Struthio camelus: one gene and its partner. The main gene of each other region encodes a partner of the protein of the gene in region 2 in a complex. Links are inferred from orthologs where the notes say so. Each region holds a gene or a part of one and is shown on either strand. Other genes may lie near its edges. The genes, in order: PPP1R8 and AKAP17A.

Region 1 (7,958 bases), on a different chromosome or scaffold from region 2:
GGGAAAATTCAGAAAGTCCTTGGCATAAATAAAATTTGAAGAACTAATTACAGCAACTGTCAAAATGACTTTGAAAATTCTGCCTTCTCTCTCATTCCCTACTCCATGAGCAGACTCGCTCTCTGCCATGACCTTTGAATACTAAAGCAAATTCATTGTTCTCCATTCAGGTTCTTAAAACCTTGCTGAAGCCAGCTATTCATTTACTGGTTGCTATAGCCGACAAACTAGAAACAGGAAGCTTTGAGTCAAACACACACACACAGTAGATTACATTTAATATAACACACATGTGAATCTCAATTACATGAAGGCCCCAAAGACAGTGGAAGATTTCATATAGTCAAGAGCGTCAAATAACAAAACTACTGGTCCAAAGCCTGCTACTGCAAACCATTTTCACTCTGGAGGATCATAACTGCAGCTCACACATAGAGCAACTCTGCACATGAATCTGCGGTGAAAGACCTATCGTTATTCAGCCTCAAAAATCACGTGATCTTTGGTTTGCTCCAAAAGAAATAAAGCTTTAAAATTGTGAACATTGAATTTGTAATTTAGTAGGTGCCAGCAGAAGGAATGTAAAGTTTTTACAAGAAATATGGTATTTTACTTTTTTGCAGACTAGGAAATCAAAATTAGAGGTCAATAAATTCAACCTTTTGGGGAGGGGCTCCTCCCTCCTACTGGATGAGACAGTGGAGTACCATGAGCCACAGCTGCCTAACGTTTTCCATTTGCAGTTACTTATACTTTTAGCGGAATACAAACACTGTTATTGGAAGCTATCCACATTGGCTCCTTGCTACATACTAATTTTTCAGGCTTATGTAACAGCTTACCTGTTTTAATAGAAATGTTAAGCTTTCCCACACACACAAAACAAAAAAAGAACAAAAATACCTTACACCGAGATTATTTACCACATCTATTCACAACAATTTGACTAAGACCAAACTCTATCAGGTATGTATTTTACTCAGTAACTAACTAAAATACTACAATTTGTACATGTCCAATAGAGGTTTAGTGGAAAGTAAATAGTTTCTTGAAAACACAGAGGGAGAGAGTCCATATACTAGCTTTGTTTTACCTGAGGAGTATTTTAGAAAATTATACTAAAAGAATATTCAGGTTGCAAAAAGCTGATCATCAAAAAAATTTGGAAGTGTCACAATGAAGATGAGTTATGGTACTTGAATATGGTTCCCTTACTCATGGGTGTGAAAATTCTGGCTTTAATCAGACCCCTGACTCCCCTTCCACTTCATTTTTCTATCATTCAGCACAATGGATTTGTGCTTCAAAACCAGTTCATGCTAGCACAGTGAAGGAAGCTGTCCGTCTGTAAGACCCTACCCTGTTTGTAGCAGAAGCCAGAAAGTACATAGCTAAAGAGGCCCTCACAGTTATGGCTGCTACAGTTCTCTCCAGATGGCATTTATTTAGGAATTCTTCTGCAATAGCATGCAACTGCCTGAACTAAACATTTAACAAGTTACACCTTTTCAGCTATTCAATCTAAGGCTTCCAGAGGCAGAAATCTCTAGTATTTACTACTGAATACAGTGCAAGTTGTGAACACCGTGCTACAAAAATACTATGAAAAAAAAAATTAAGGACCTATGTCAAATTCCAGGTTGAACAACCAGAATGTACTGACACTGTGCAATTAGTAGGTTTACCTACTCCATCACACCATCATTACACAGACCACCATCTTGTCTCATACAGATGTTTGTTATTACATACGCTTACCATAGACAACACGGTAAAATACAGGAGAAATTCTCTTCCATGAGAGAGTTGAATGACATTCACTGATTAAAGCAAGGACTTATAAAATAAGTGAAAGTTAAAAAGCACATTTACTAAGCATCCATTCACTGAGCACTATCATCCAAACACTGAAGAAAAGTATGGGACCCACAGTAAAAAAAAGATGATTATGACTATGCAAATAAAGACTGTAGTCATGCACATACACAGGCAAGGACTAATTAACTAATACAAAAGTGGTTGAATTTTCAGCTCTAGTGCTATGTCATTTTCCATGTAATTTAAAGTACGTGTAACCTGAATAATCAGTTGAAAAAGAAGATGGCACAGCAAATGCCTATTTAGCCACCTATCCAAGAACCCGAAGAGAACAAAATAGGATCCTAGAAAGCCTAATCTAAGGCCCTGCTCTCAACAGAAGGTTGGACCAGATGATCTCCAGAGGTTCCTTGCAACCTGCACTTTTCTATGATTCTAAAACCAACCCTATTCATGTTTCTAATATTGCTTCTTCAACACATCACTTTGACTTCCTACTCAATGCAATATAAATCCAGGCTAGTTTTAAGTTGATAGACTTTTTTGTACGGTATACGTAGCTTAAGTAGGAAATTTAATCTGTCCTGTATCATATGCTTTGTTTAAGCCCTTGCAAAAACACAAAGCATCTCCTGAAAGCACTCTGAGCTTCAGCCAACTCTGTATTTCGGCACTGAACCAAGATAACCCGCAGGCACTTGCTGATGAAGGATGCATCCGCAGGGCTGCACTTCTCAGAGCCCCCTGACAGGGCCCAGCACCCCGGGGGGGGGGGGCAGATAGCTACTGCCGCTCCCGGCTGAGGGAGCCCAGGCCCGGGCAGGCAGCCTTGTCCCCGCGCCCGGGAGACGTCGTAGCCCCGCGGCCCTGCCCGGTCCCAGACTCCCCTCACATGAGCGGCCGCCACCAGGCCCGGTGCCACTCCCCCGGCCCGGCTCGGCCCTGCCCAGCCCGGCGGGCACCAGCGCTCCGCCGCAGCAACCGCCAGCCCGCTCAAGGCCCGCGGCGAACCCAAAGGCGAGGGCCCCGGCGGAGGGCGACGGCGCCGGCCCGCCCGCTCACCAGCTAGGGCACTCGAAGAGCGAGAGGCCGCCGCCTCCGGCCGAGTTCGCATTCGCCGCCATCTTGCATCTGCCCCATTCAGGCGGGCCGAGGGCAGGATGGGAAACAGGCGGACCCGAGCGAGAAGCAGTCCCAGAGTGCCCCGCGCGGCTCCGCCAGAGCGAGGCGGGGCGGGGCGGGGCAGGGGCAGGGGCGGCGGCGGCGGCGGCGGGGCGGGGGGGGGGGGGGTTGGCTCCAGCTCGCCGCCCGCCTCGCGCCCCTCCCCCGCTCCGGGGGGTGCGCGCGCGCCCGGCGGGGCCGCGCTCTCCGCGGTCACCGGGGCGGCTCGGCGGCCGCGTCAGGCCCCGGCGGGGGCCCAGTGCCGCCCCTACGCCCCGGGGAAGGCTGGAGGAAGCGCCTCGGCCCGAGGCAGCCTCGTACCCGCCCGAACGTGGCTCAGGGCGGTTTCTTAGGAAGACGCGAGGGGCGGCCGGTCCGGGGCGGCTCTGCCGGGTTAGACCGCAGCCGACCGGGACGCACTGCCCGGTCCTCGGCCTCTGCCCGCCCAGCTGACAGAGACACGCTGCGCTGCGCCTTAGGCCTTGGACAGCGCAGACGCTTGCCGATCTTAGTGTTCCTGCCCCTCTTCCTTCCGGGCCTCATCTCCCCGCACCCCAGGGCACCAAGAAGGCCCTGTAAGTTACATCCATGTCATTAAATTCCTCAAAAAGAAACCGAGAAACGCTACATAACCTTAGCTATTAAAACACATTTTTACTTCTACCATGGGGCCTTCCTTCTAACTGCTTTTGGAGAAGGAAGAGGTGGATAAAAACAATGAAAATGTTAGCAAGTATACAAAATTGCAGAGAAATAAGCTAAATGCAATGCTTCTGCAACAAGTTTTTTAAGACTCCTTTTACAAGCATTCTAGCTAGATGACAGGTTTTTTCAGGATCCTTCTCAGCTTTTTGAATAAATTTTAGGTAGAAAACAAATCAGATGGTAGCTAATATTGATGATATACTTTCTTACTGGTATAGATAATTGAGCCCGTAAGGGGAAAAACTAGTTTTCACCAATAATCCCCAGCTCCCCCAAGAGCTGTCACTAAATCGATCAAACACCCCTGAGCACTGCAGGAATAGCTATCACTACAAAAGGGGCAAGTAAGCTTATTCCATCCCTGGATCTCATTGTGAGAGGTAAACTTCCTGCAATAAATTTTCAGTAGTTAGTACAGTGGTAGCAAACAATCCCTGAGGCAGGAAAGTTCTCTCATAGTGCCATGGTGCTGCAGCAAGGGAGATGAGAGTTTCTGCTTGCAATCCTTCACATTCACGCATCTTCGTTAAGACCACTGTTAAAAAGAGCAGTGGGGCTCCTGCAGAGACTCAGTTCAACAAAGCAAAGGAAGAGAAAGGAAGCAAGTAATTCTAGCAGTCCTGACTCAAGGAAGCACTTGTGTTGTCTACTTCAGTTTCAGGCAGCTGCAACTGATTTAGGTTAGGACAGAACCTAAAAATAATGCACCCAGGCTCTCTTTAAAAATGGTGAAAAAAGGGCTTTTATTTTCATATGAAAGTGTAATATCAAAAAGAAACTCCCCATGCAGCAGGCAGTGCATAAAGCAACAAGATCCACCATTCAGGAGGAGTAGAACAACACATACTCATTTCCCTTGCTTTTGAGTCAGCTTAACTCAGTAAAGACTGAGTCCCAGCAGTAGGCAAACAGTCCAAGTTTACCAATCAACATTCAAGGAAGCCAGATTCATCTTTCTATGATCAGTTACTGGACAGGACTGCTGCACAGGAGTTTTGTATATGTCCACAGGGAAGTCATTCCATGTTTTTACCTAGGTTAGCTTAAGAAAAATCAGGGACTGTTGAACTTAAAATGGAGGAAACACCACTAAAGCAGATATAAAGTCTTCTACACTGATTGCAAAGAGAGGCAGTTGCAAACAAATTGGAAAATAAAGACTATGACAGAGGCTTTTAAAAGTGTTTATTGACAGTTATTAGATGGAATGATGGCGCAATAGTGCAAAACACTGTGCAATTGGGAGCACACACTCCCTTCCCAGCTTTCACATTTACTTTATTATACAGGAGACATGGAATAAGGATTAAATACAAAAATGGGTCAGTATGCTGCATTTGCCACACTGTGATGGGCTTTGGACAGATTACTGTTCCCTCAGTGCATGTCAGTTCAGAGCTACATCAGAGTGGGGAGTGGCTGCTATGTTCTCTCTAGCTCTACTAGCGAGACATTAATTCAACTAGAGATCTTTTTCATTTGTACACACATCCTCAAACAGTCTTAAAAACCTAACACTTCACTCAGCCAAGTGCTGCACTTTCTATTTCATAAACAGTGGAAAATACCAAGTGTTCACAAGCAATATGTAATATTCACTGGTACACTACAAGCGAGCTTCGAGAGTACTTCTTTAGAAGCAGCATTTCAGGTAATACTCACCTATCTTGCTAGCTTGTAAATTTAGGTGCCCACTTTCTCATCTTTGCATGATTTTCTCCCTAAAAGCTTCTAAAAAGCAATTAGGAGTGAACAGCTAAACTTTTTCCCCCACTACTTAATATGGATTTCGTGCACCTTAGTATTTCTAGTGTTTGAGAGTCAGCATTGGAAGAGTTTTATTTGTCCAATAATAAACCACCAGCCAGTTTATCTAAGGAAATTGCATCGTTAGATTATCCTAAGTCAAAGGTGTTCTGTCCTCACAAATGCTGCATTTGAAGAAAACAAACAATGCCCCTTCCCCCCCCCCTAAACTCCACAAACCACCAACTGTGCTCAAACATTAATAGAACAGTTACAAGTCTCATGGCTAAACTGACCAGTTACTAAGCACACTAGTGGTTCCAACTGTGGTCATCCATGCCTACTTCCTACCTTCCAAATCTGTAGTAGCATCTTTCTCTATAAGAGAGTTTAGAACCATGGCCACCTGGAGACTAATTAAACCATGGGGAAGACACTGGAGACTTTAGAAACTGCTGGATTAAGGTAATGCAAATCTGTATTGTGCCCTCTTTGAATGTCATTCTTATTCCAGTCCAAAGTTACCTATACATACAAAATGTTAAAATTGTGCCACTTGCCAAAAAACAAGACATCTCCAATTATTGATCACACTTCAGTATACATTTGGGACAGGGAATAATACATTACAGAAGGAAAAAAACCACAAGATCTTAGTTACATAAAACAATGTAATTTGTATATAAACTGATAAATACTGTCTCCATGGTTCACTAATTCCATATACTAGTTATCTGCACATTAGTTGCTAATATCTATTACTAGAAGAAGTTCCGGCTTCTGCTCTCTCAAGGTGGTCAATTCATTTCTGAGACTAGTCAGCCTGTTCGCTCTGGGGGAATGAGAATTGCTCTCTGCAATGAGATTAGGTTCCACATGAAAATTTCATTTTGTTGCCTGCCAGATAACAAGTCCTAGGATTAGAGAAGCCACAGCAAGACCAAGAATCAGGATACAGATCTTCTTACGGGATTTCTTCTAATGGAAGAAGAAAAAAAAGCCATTGACACCAAGAACAGAGGACAAGAGGATAGATTAGAGCACTCTGTACCCATCCTTATTCAAGAGGAGTGTACAGACTACACGGCTTAAGCATTCTTTAAACAGCATGATTTTATAGCTAGCTGTTTTCAGTTTCAGCATAGTCTAAGAGGTGCAGTTAAGTCAAAAATGTGTCAAGTCTCGCTTCTCTCAAGGAAAATACAAGTTTCACTCAAATTGCCTATAAAAAGAGAACCTGACAGCATCTAGCATATGCTTTTCATACCTAAGGTAGGCCACCAGAGCTAGAGGAAAACTAACTACCTCTAGCTATTTGGATTTTCCAGCTAAGACAAGTAATAACTGCTAACTAGTTCCCTGATATAATCTCTCCTTGGTCACCTGGAGTTGGCATGGAGATTGTATTGCATTTCTACAGTTTAAAAGCTTTGATAAACAGTTATGGTACTTGGATTTTACAGTTTTGATCACTTTTAATCATCACAGAAAGCTACAACCTGTCCATATATACAGAATACTTTTATCTAAGGATTTGAGGTTAGTTATATAAAACCTCCTCTGCCCAGAAGAATATGTCCAATACATGTCCAAAATCTGCCAGACTTGGCTTTATCATACCTTGAAGATTCACTTTATAATGGAACCCGTGGAAAGAGAAAATGATACTATATCCTGGCAGCTGGCAAAGGCTACTTTCCCTCCCTGCAGCTAAACAGCACAGGAGTTTTATTGCCTTCCAATATCTCCTCACTTAACAGCTTGAGGAAGTCCAGTTTCCTATCTGGTATATTGTCCTGAGGTACCAGCAGTAAAACTCTATACTGAACTGACTGACTGACAGAGCACCCCCATTCTTTCATAGAATCTAAACCCCCCAAGGACAATCAGGAAAGGAGCCTACAAGAAAGCGCTAAATATAATAAACAAAGAAGTTTGCAGTGGCTGTCACTGCTCCTTACAGAGTTGATGGGACTTAGGACAGACCAAGGAACGGGAACTGAGCAGTCAGAAAGGTCCTGCAAATCCTGGTGAGCAGAAACTGCCCAAGTTTGTATATGGATTTTTTTCACATCCGTGTTTACACAAAGTTCTGTAGAGTATTGTCTTGACCAGCATATTTACAAGATGGGTACATCATGAGAATTTATTCTCGTTTAACTGTTTCGCTACCTTCCGAGAACGGCAAAGCTAGGCACTTAAACTCATTGAGCACATCTACGTGAAGGAACAAAATGACGGCATATCCTCTGCGTTAGAGGGCTAATTTCAATGCTGTGTTTCTCACTCAAGCGCTTTATTTATTCCTTAGAGTACAGCTTTGTGGAAGTGCCAGCTTGCATAAGCTGTTTTTAAGAACTTGTTTGGCATGCTGCAGTCCTCATTATATGTCTTGTTATGCCTGTACCATGTTGCACAAGTGTATGTTGACATTAATACAAAGCATACAGAATTTACCTGATAATAGGCAGCTCTCTGTAACTGCTCACTGGCTCTTTCCACATGGACTTCTGCACTTTCCACATTTG
Region 2 (7,458 bases):
TGTTTGTTATTTATATTAAGTGTAACATTAAGTGCGACAGTAAGCACAGCGCACTGAGGTAAATTGGTAGAACTATCGCGCTCTGCATCGGATACTCCTAGTCTGTGCTAACAAGATGAATTCCTTGTTGTACAGATGAATTAAGAGGGAATGGAATTATCTTTGTATATAGTCATATTCTACTTATTTAAATAGAATACAACAATTAGGTCTGTAGAGGACCAGTTACAGGAAGTGATGTTTAATTCCAATTAATTGAAATTGCCCCATGTCAGCACACAATTCTTCTAACGACATGTATTCTTCCCAAGGCAGACAATCATAAGCACAGTTTTTACTGACACATAGCATTCAGTTAGACCAAAAAAAAAAAAAAAAAAAAAAGGAGCAGAGATAATGGAAGCAAAGTGAAAAAAATAGAACTGTTTCTTGCCATAGAAAATAAAACAATGCATCATGTGCTGCAATTCTATGCTTCTACCCACTTAGAGGCTTCAAGGCATCAGGGCTTAATTTTGTTTTGTGGGTAGAGCCAATTTAATGTCTGGAAACATCATTTTTACTCTTTTCAAGAATTACGCAATCTATTGGTCCAAGTCTTCTGTGCTGCTGCTGCATCCACCTCCAGCTACTATCCATAAACAGTTTGATGGTACAGTGAATCACTCTGGTTTTTTTTTTCAGTAGGAGAGAGAACAAAGAGATGTTCTCTGTTAAGTGACAACAGAAAACAGAAATCACACTGAAAGTAATCAAAGGCTGGTAAGGACTGTAGCTGTTTCTAAAAAGAAATATACTAGGAGTATTTATGGACTTTATACAGCAGAGAAGATTTAGATGATCACTGGAGACAAATCAGTCTCAAACAGAAAAAGCCAAGTTTTAAGCTAAAAAGAGCTCCTCCTCTTTGGTATTTTTCAGAGGGGAAGAAGCAAGGAAGGAATGGAAGTAGCACTGCTGCTTTAATGCATTACACATGTAGCTTCTTGCATTCATTGCCACAAATGATCATTAAAGGCAAGAGCATGGTGCAGAATGAACAGCGGAATAAGTATACAGATAAGACCACGCACAGTAAGGAGAATTGTGTCCTCTTGTAAGAAAAGCAGAATAGTGTGTATTAAGGCATGAATACAAAACTTAGTATCTGCTGTTTATAGTCTATTTTAATTGTGTTTGTGAATACATGTATAGATAGATTTTGTGCATATAGATAGATAGATAGATAGATAGATAGATAGATAGATAGATAGATAGATAAAACAAGGGCTCCCTCTAGTGAACTTTTAAGGGATTCAAAGTGTGGTGGTTGTGACTTCTAAAGATACAAGCAGACAAGGTTTGTAGGTAGAAATCTTATCTGCTATTAGACCACTTGTTGAAGTTGAGCAAGACACACAAGTCACTTTTCAGGTCTCTAGCACAATATATTTGTTGCAGTTGGGGAAATGGAATGTGTTACAGTGACAACCAGATTGAATGCACTGTTATGCTTGGATACTGTCACTGATGTTTACCTTGCCTGTTCATGCTTCCTCTTCCTGGTATGTGTGATATGTGACCTATTTTCTGAAACGCAAAAGGAACCATTTCATTTAGTCACTTAGGTATCTCAATATAGTTTATAAAACAAACAAAACAAAAATGCACATCTACTAATTGTATTTGTGCAGGCAGAAAGTTTACCCTTGCCACATCTTTTATATCTTTCTAATGCGCATTTCAACTGTTTCTTCTTGTCCACAGCCTTTACAATATTATTCAATATAACATCACATTCCTTTTTCCTTTCCCCTACCGTGTTAGATAATACATTTGTAACATTCCTTTCAGCCGAGAGTATATCAGAAAAATAGTCTGTGAAAGATATTATGGTTATGGTTGGTAGCACAACATGGGTAACCTTAATTCTATCATTTTGTAAATTTTCAGGCACAGGATTCAAAACTGTTGCCCTACATAACATCTCACTCCACTTCTACTGAAACTACGTGGAATGTGACTGCTTTGTTCACTCCCAAATGAACTTTCAAGATTTTAAGAGAAAGCGTAGCATACGATGCAAGTATTCTCCAACTATCATACATGAGCTATTTCAAGGTGTTGTACAGTGGCAACAGCTTCTGATTTTGTCTTTGTACAAATACTTAACTAAACCGTGGAATGCATATTTCTGTGCAAGAAATTAGAGGAGGGTTGGCAGTTACCAACATCCGTGATGTGAAATAACACTTCTATACAACAACTGCGGTCTCACAAGGACTGCTGGATTGGTGGTAACTTCCTGTGTTGTGTTTTGACCTATGCTTTAGAGTCATTATTTCCATACAGTGGTTATCACCAGTCTGCTGCCACAGGTAACTGCAGTCCCTGTTTCTCAGCCTGTGGGAGCTTACCTAAGGTGGGACTGGGTGCCTGCTTTCATATGCTGCAGGGGGAGCAGGTGATGTGGAGAGAACGGGTAAGTCACTGACTGAGGTCAGGAGGATGGAAGCAGTAATGGCTTGTGGGCTAGGGATATGCAGCAAGAAATCGAGAGAGGTAGGTGGTGGCATGTGATTATAGGGCCGGTGTTGAAACCGGGGTCAAGAACATGCGATCATTGGAGGGTGATGACAGAGCAGATGGAGGCAAGCCTTCTCCTGTGCATGTGTGCTGACCTATGCAGAGTTGGAAACTTTTGCATCCCGTACTTACACTGAAGTATGAGCAAACCACCAGTGGTAAAACTATAGTGGGAAGCTTTGATATTCTGTATTATCTGCAAAATAGTATAAGATCATATAAAAATCCTGTATTTTAGGTTCAGCCAGCCTATTTGTATTTTGGGCAAAACAGACATAAAAATCAAACAAGCACGAAAGAAGTAACTGTCCCCTGCCCTCACTACTGCAACTTAAATACCTTTTTTCACTAATATAAACTGAAGACCAGGAAAGAAAGAGAGCACATTCAAGAGACCAGGTATTTTGGTATGCCTTGAATATATTTACTAATGAACAATTATATAAACACTTGTCAATACTTTATATATTTTCCGTTCTTTTTTCCCCTCTCTTTCCCTCTGTACATGCCGGGCAGTTAAAAAAATTCCTGAATATTGGGAACACCAAGGACGTGATGCAGTTAAAGACTAGGACCTCTACACTCAGGTGCCTACACGCAGACGTCCACCTGTGACCTAGGGGCAGGATTCAGCTGCCTGGCAAATGGGCCTAGCGCCTACTGAGGTGCCCTAAGGTACCCGAGACGTCGTCAGGATTTGAGGAGACTCACAGCCTCCTAGAGCAGCAGCCAGAGACCCAGCAGGACCCAGACCCCACAGCTCCTGCGATGACACTGGAAGCTCAATTCACTTGTCTAAACATGTGTGCCTACAGCCATGCAGGTTGTCAGCATAGCCTCCAGCTGCCAGTATAGACAGGTTTCCTCCACGAACAATTTTTATAATTATTTTCGTAATTATGTAGGATAATTTTTAGCCCCATATACATAACTTGGGTATCTTACAGCATCTTAAATAGCATTAGGCACCCATGTTCATACGACTAAATTGTGTCTGGTTGATTTGTGAGATTGTTTATAAATACAGGGTTTGGGTTCTTTTTCCCAGAAAAGCACAAACTATCAGAAGTGTGTGGGAGGCTATTTTCCTTGGTAGACAGTGACTCCGGAGGCCCCAGCACTGCTCTCGGCAAGGTGCTCGGTTTCTGCCCTCTCATCTCCCAGTAGGTAAGAAGGAAACGGTGAGAAAGATCTTCTTGGAAAGCAGGCCTGTTGGCACGCACCGAGCGCAGGCAGGCCAACGCTGCTGCGCAGCGCACGCCTGACAGGGAGAGCAAGAAGCAAGGGCCTGCTTTTCACTAGAAACTAGTGGAGTCACTTTGCCGGCAAGTTTCCAGCGCGAACAGAAAACAGGCCGTGACGCTGTCATTGCCAGCAGGGCCACAGAGAGAAAATGAGGTCAGAGAGGGCCAAACAGAAACACCAAGCAGGCCACGACCCACTTTCTAGGCAACTGGGCAACGGAGCAGAAACGCAGTTCCTACCAGCCTTCACACAAAACTGACGCTTGCGGGGGAGTTTTAGGGCCCCGCAAGCCGCGCAACTGCGCCTGCGCCGCGGCCCTCCCGCCCGCCCGCCGGCCTCCCCTCCCCGCCGCCTGGTGTCGCCCGCTGGAGCCGCGGCCCCGGCGCTACCATAGAGAGCGGCTCCGCCCCTCCCCTTTGCCGGCCAGGACGCCTCCCCCGCTAACCCCCCCCACCCCCGGCCGACGCGGAAGCGGAAGCGGGCCTAGCGGCGCGCGGTGGCGGTGGGGGGCGCGGAAGGGACGGGTGCGCGGTGGGCGGCCGTTTGCTGGGGGTGGGAGTCCGCCGCGCCGCGCCGGGCCGGCTGCGGTGAGGCGGCGCCGAGGCGGGCGCGGTGAGTCTCCCCGTGCGGGTGGTGGTGGTGGTGGTGGTGGTGGTGGTGGTGGGTGGAGAGGCCTCACTGTGCCCTGGGAAACCGGCAAGGGAGGGGGCAGCGGCGGGCCGGGCCGGCCAGCGGGGAAGGCCGCGGCTCCCCCCCCCCCCCCCGCGCCCGCAGGCGGCTCGTTGCGCAGCCGGACGTGCGGCCCGCACGCAGGGGTCACTCGCTGCCGTTTGGCTGGTAGCGCGGGCTGGAGGGCTCCCAGCCTCGCCGTGCCGCTCAGGCTGCTCTGCGGTAACCGGAGGGCGAGGAGGCTTCTGGCTGGAGGGGGGGGAGGAGAAAAAAAAAAAAAAAAAAAAAAAAAGCAGTGTTCTTCTCTCATTGCAGATACCCTATGAGTCTTTAGAGTGGAGAGCGTGGAGTCTGTCCTCAGTGCTAATCTGCTGTGGTTTATGTGTTGTTAAGTAGACTTCGAAGCCGTGTGACATCACTCCTCCTGTTCCTTTCTTCCTGAAAAAAGGGTAGCTGCTTTCTGAGCCATCGCATACCAACTTCATTTATTCCTAGATTGTCCTCAGCGTCTTGTTTTTTCTGAGGCCTTACTGAGATTTAGTTGTTTATGGGCTCAGGTGGTTATAAAGTAATTTAAGATGCTTGTGTTACTTGATTTTAACTCTCTAATTGACTTTTATATTAAGAGACATTGGTTTTACTTGGGAGTGATTAAATGTCCAAGGAGTTCAATTCTTTATGCATAAGGGCTATTTTATTTGACATTTTTTGGCCTACAACTTAAACTTTCATCTTTATTCTTTTTATCCTATGCTTTTTCTGTGTTATGGCTGCTGCAACAATAGTTCATGATACATCAGAAGCTGTAGAGCTCTGTGCTCCCTGTGGGTTATATCTTAAGCCCATTACAAAAATGACCATCAGTGTGGCACTTCCTCAGCTGAAACAACCAGGAAAATCCATTTCAAACTGGGAAGTTATGGAAAGATTGAAAGGTATGGTGCAAACTCATCAGTTTTCTACTCTGCGGATTTCTAAAAGCACAATGGATTTCATCCGGTTTGAAGGAGAGGTTGAAAACAAAAGTTTGGTGAAGTCTTTTCTGGCATGCCTTGATGGCAAAACAATAAAGCTGAGTGGCTTCTCTGACATTTTGAAAGTCCGTGCTGCAGAGTATAAGATTGACTTTCCCACCAGACATGACTGGGACTCTTTTTTTCGTGATGCAAAAGATATGAATGAAACTTTGCCAGGGGAAAGACCAGATACTATTCATTTGGAAGGCTTACCTTGTAAATGGTTTGCAGCAAAGGATTCTGGCTCAGAAAAGCCAAGTGAGGAAGTTCTCATAAAAGTTTTCAAGAAATTTGGAGAAATACGTAATGTGGACATACCTATGCTGGACCCTTATAGAGAAGAAATGACTGGCAGAAATTTCCACACTTTTAGTTTTGGAGGCCATTTAAACTTTGAAGCCTATGTTCAATATCGGGAATATGCAGGTTTCATTAAGGCCATGAATGCCCTGCGAGGGATGAAGCTGATGTACAAAGGCGATGATGGCAAAGCAGTGGCTTGCAATATAAAGGTGAGAACTACAGGCTCTTGTATAATAACCCATGTTAAAGAACAGATGCCACTAAAATCCTGTGGACTAGCTGTAATAGAATGTTGAAAGGAAAATGATAGAAAGAAGAAAAATGTGTTATGTTAGGCACAGAATGGGTGGGGTTTTTTTCCTTTTTCTCAATGGAAGGACCAAATACATGAGTATGACTTGTTCATGATTTGTGATTTTTGAAAATTAATACATATCTATAAATATTGTCATTTCTCTTAAAAATTATAATTCTGAACAAGTTCAGACATATTTCGCTAGAAGGTTGACTTAAATGAAATGTCCTCTTGTGTACACCACAAATGGAATTTTTGGGGGAGAAATTCACAGCCTCCTACACTGACAATGAGGTCTACCAGACAAGTGTCAGGATTCTGAAATTTAATAGTCTGTGACCTATAAGACCTGTGGAATGCACCAATTGATCATGGTTAGTGTACTTCACGTACGGAAAGGCCTTAAAAAAAAAAAAAAAAAGTACATGTTAAACTGTAGCACAATTTCCTGTGAATCCAGTATGTTGAATTCATAATATTTACATACCAAGATTTCCAGATCTTTTCTTTTTGTGCAACCTCATTGTCTTAGAAAACAGAACTATGGCAGGAGAGGACAACGCGTCCTCTTCTGATGTAATGTCAATGAAAGTATGGCCTAAGGACGACTGCTCTGATATACTTGGAGTTTGTCCATCCAGTTATGTATCAGTTGAGTGAAATGTTTGCTTACTTATTTCAGTGGACTTCATAGTCATTCATCAAATCAGGATGTGTATTTCAGGAAAAAGCTTGACTATTCGTTTTTGTAATACGGGAACATGTAAATACTTATTTAAGTTTTATTTTATTAAGTAGAATACTATAATCTTGTTACAAAGCTTGTCAGTTGGAGCATAGAAACTCTTTAGACCTTAACTTTTTTATTTTCCAGGGGTTGTGAAATTCAGACTGTCACTTACATACACTGGATCAGGGTTCCCAAATTTAGTTTGTCCATGCAGGAGGAGGAATGCTTTCCTGGCAGCTGCCCTGGGGATTGAATAGGAAAGGGAGAGGGCAATGTTTGCAACTGTGCTATCAGGACAGATCTCCTTCATACATAGTTACAGTGCTCTGACCTTTCCAACTCTGCTTCTCTCTGTCCATCCTTTTAACCTGCTAGTGGAACATCGTTTTACATACAGTCGGAATGAAATAAATTGTGGAGTACTTACTCTTTGCCTTGCACCCCATGGTTTGTATCTTCCGCTGGCTAGGGGGTCTTTGGGAACACACTATGGATCTTTCTATGCCTGCATAGATGGTATCTAGTGTGGGAAATCAGGACACCTGGAGTGTGATGTATGCTGGGATCCTGTTCCAGCACATGATCGACCATGACCAGAGCGCCCTTAGGTCCTGGAAGGCCCAGGTCTTATGGTC

Evidence for each region.
Region 1: AKAP17A (region 2) and PPP1R8 share a complex: the UniProt entries of both Homo sapiens proteins name them as parts of the spliceosome. The link is inferred for Struthio camelus from reciprocal best matches to the Homo sapiens genes AKAP17A and PPP1R8.

The regions. Positions count from the first base shown.
Region 1 is NC_090964.1:2,894,879-2,902,836, forward strand, and holds the start of PPP1R8 (nuclear inhibitor of protein phosphatase 1), read right to left. Parts: upstream 3,141-7,958; 5' UTR 2,943-3,140; coding exon 2,881-2,942; intron 1-2,880. Other genes in the region: STX12 (syntaxin-12), read right to left, coding at 6,316-6,408, 7,888-7,958. UniProt on the Homo sapiens protein: Inhibitor subunit of the major nuclear protein phosphatase-1 (PP-1). It has RNA-binding activity but does not cleave RNA and may target PP-1 to RNA-associated substrates. May also be involved in pre-mRNA splicing.
Region 2 is NC_090942.1:147,316,576-147,324,033, reverse strand, and holds the start of AKAP17A (A-kinase anchor protein 17A), read left to right. Parts: upstream 1-4,267; 5' UTR 4,268-4,334; exon of another isoform or gene 4,335-4,422; intron 4,423-4,794; 5' UTR 4,795-5,245; coding exon 5,246-6,007; intron 6,008-7,458. UniProt on the Homo sapiens protein: Splice factor regulating alternative splice site selection for certain mRNA precursors. Mediates regulation of pre-mRNA splicing in a PKA-dependent manner.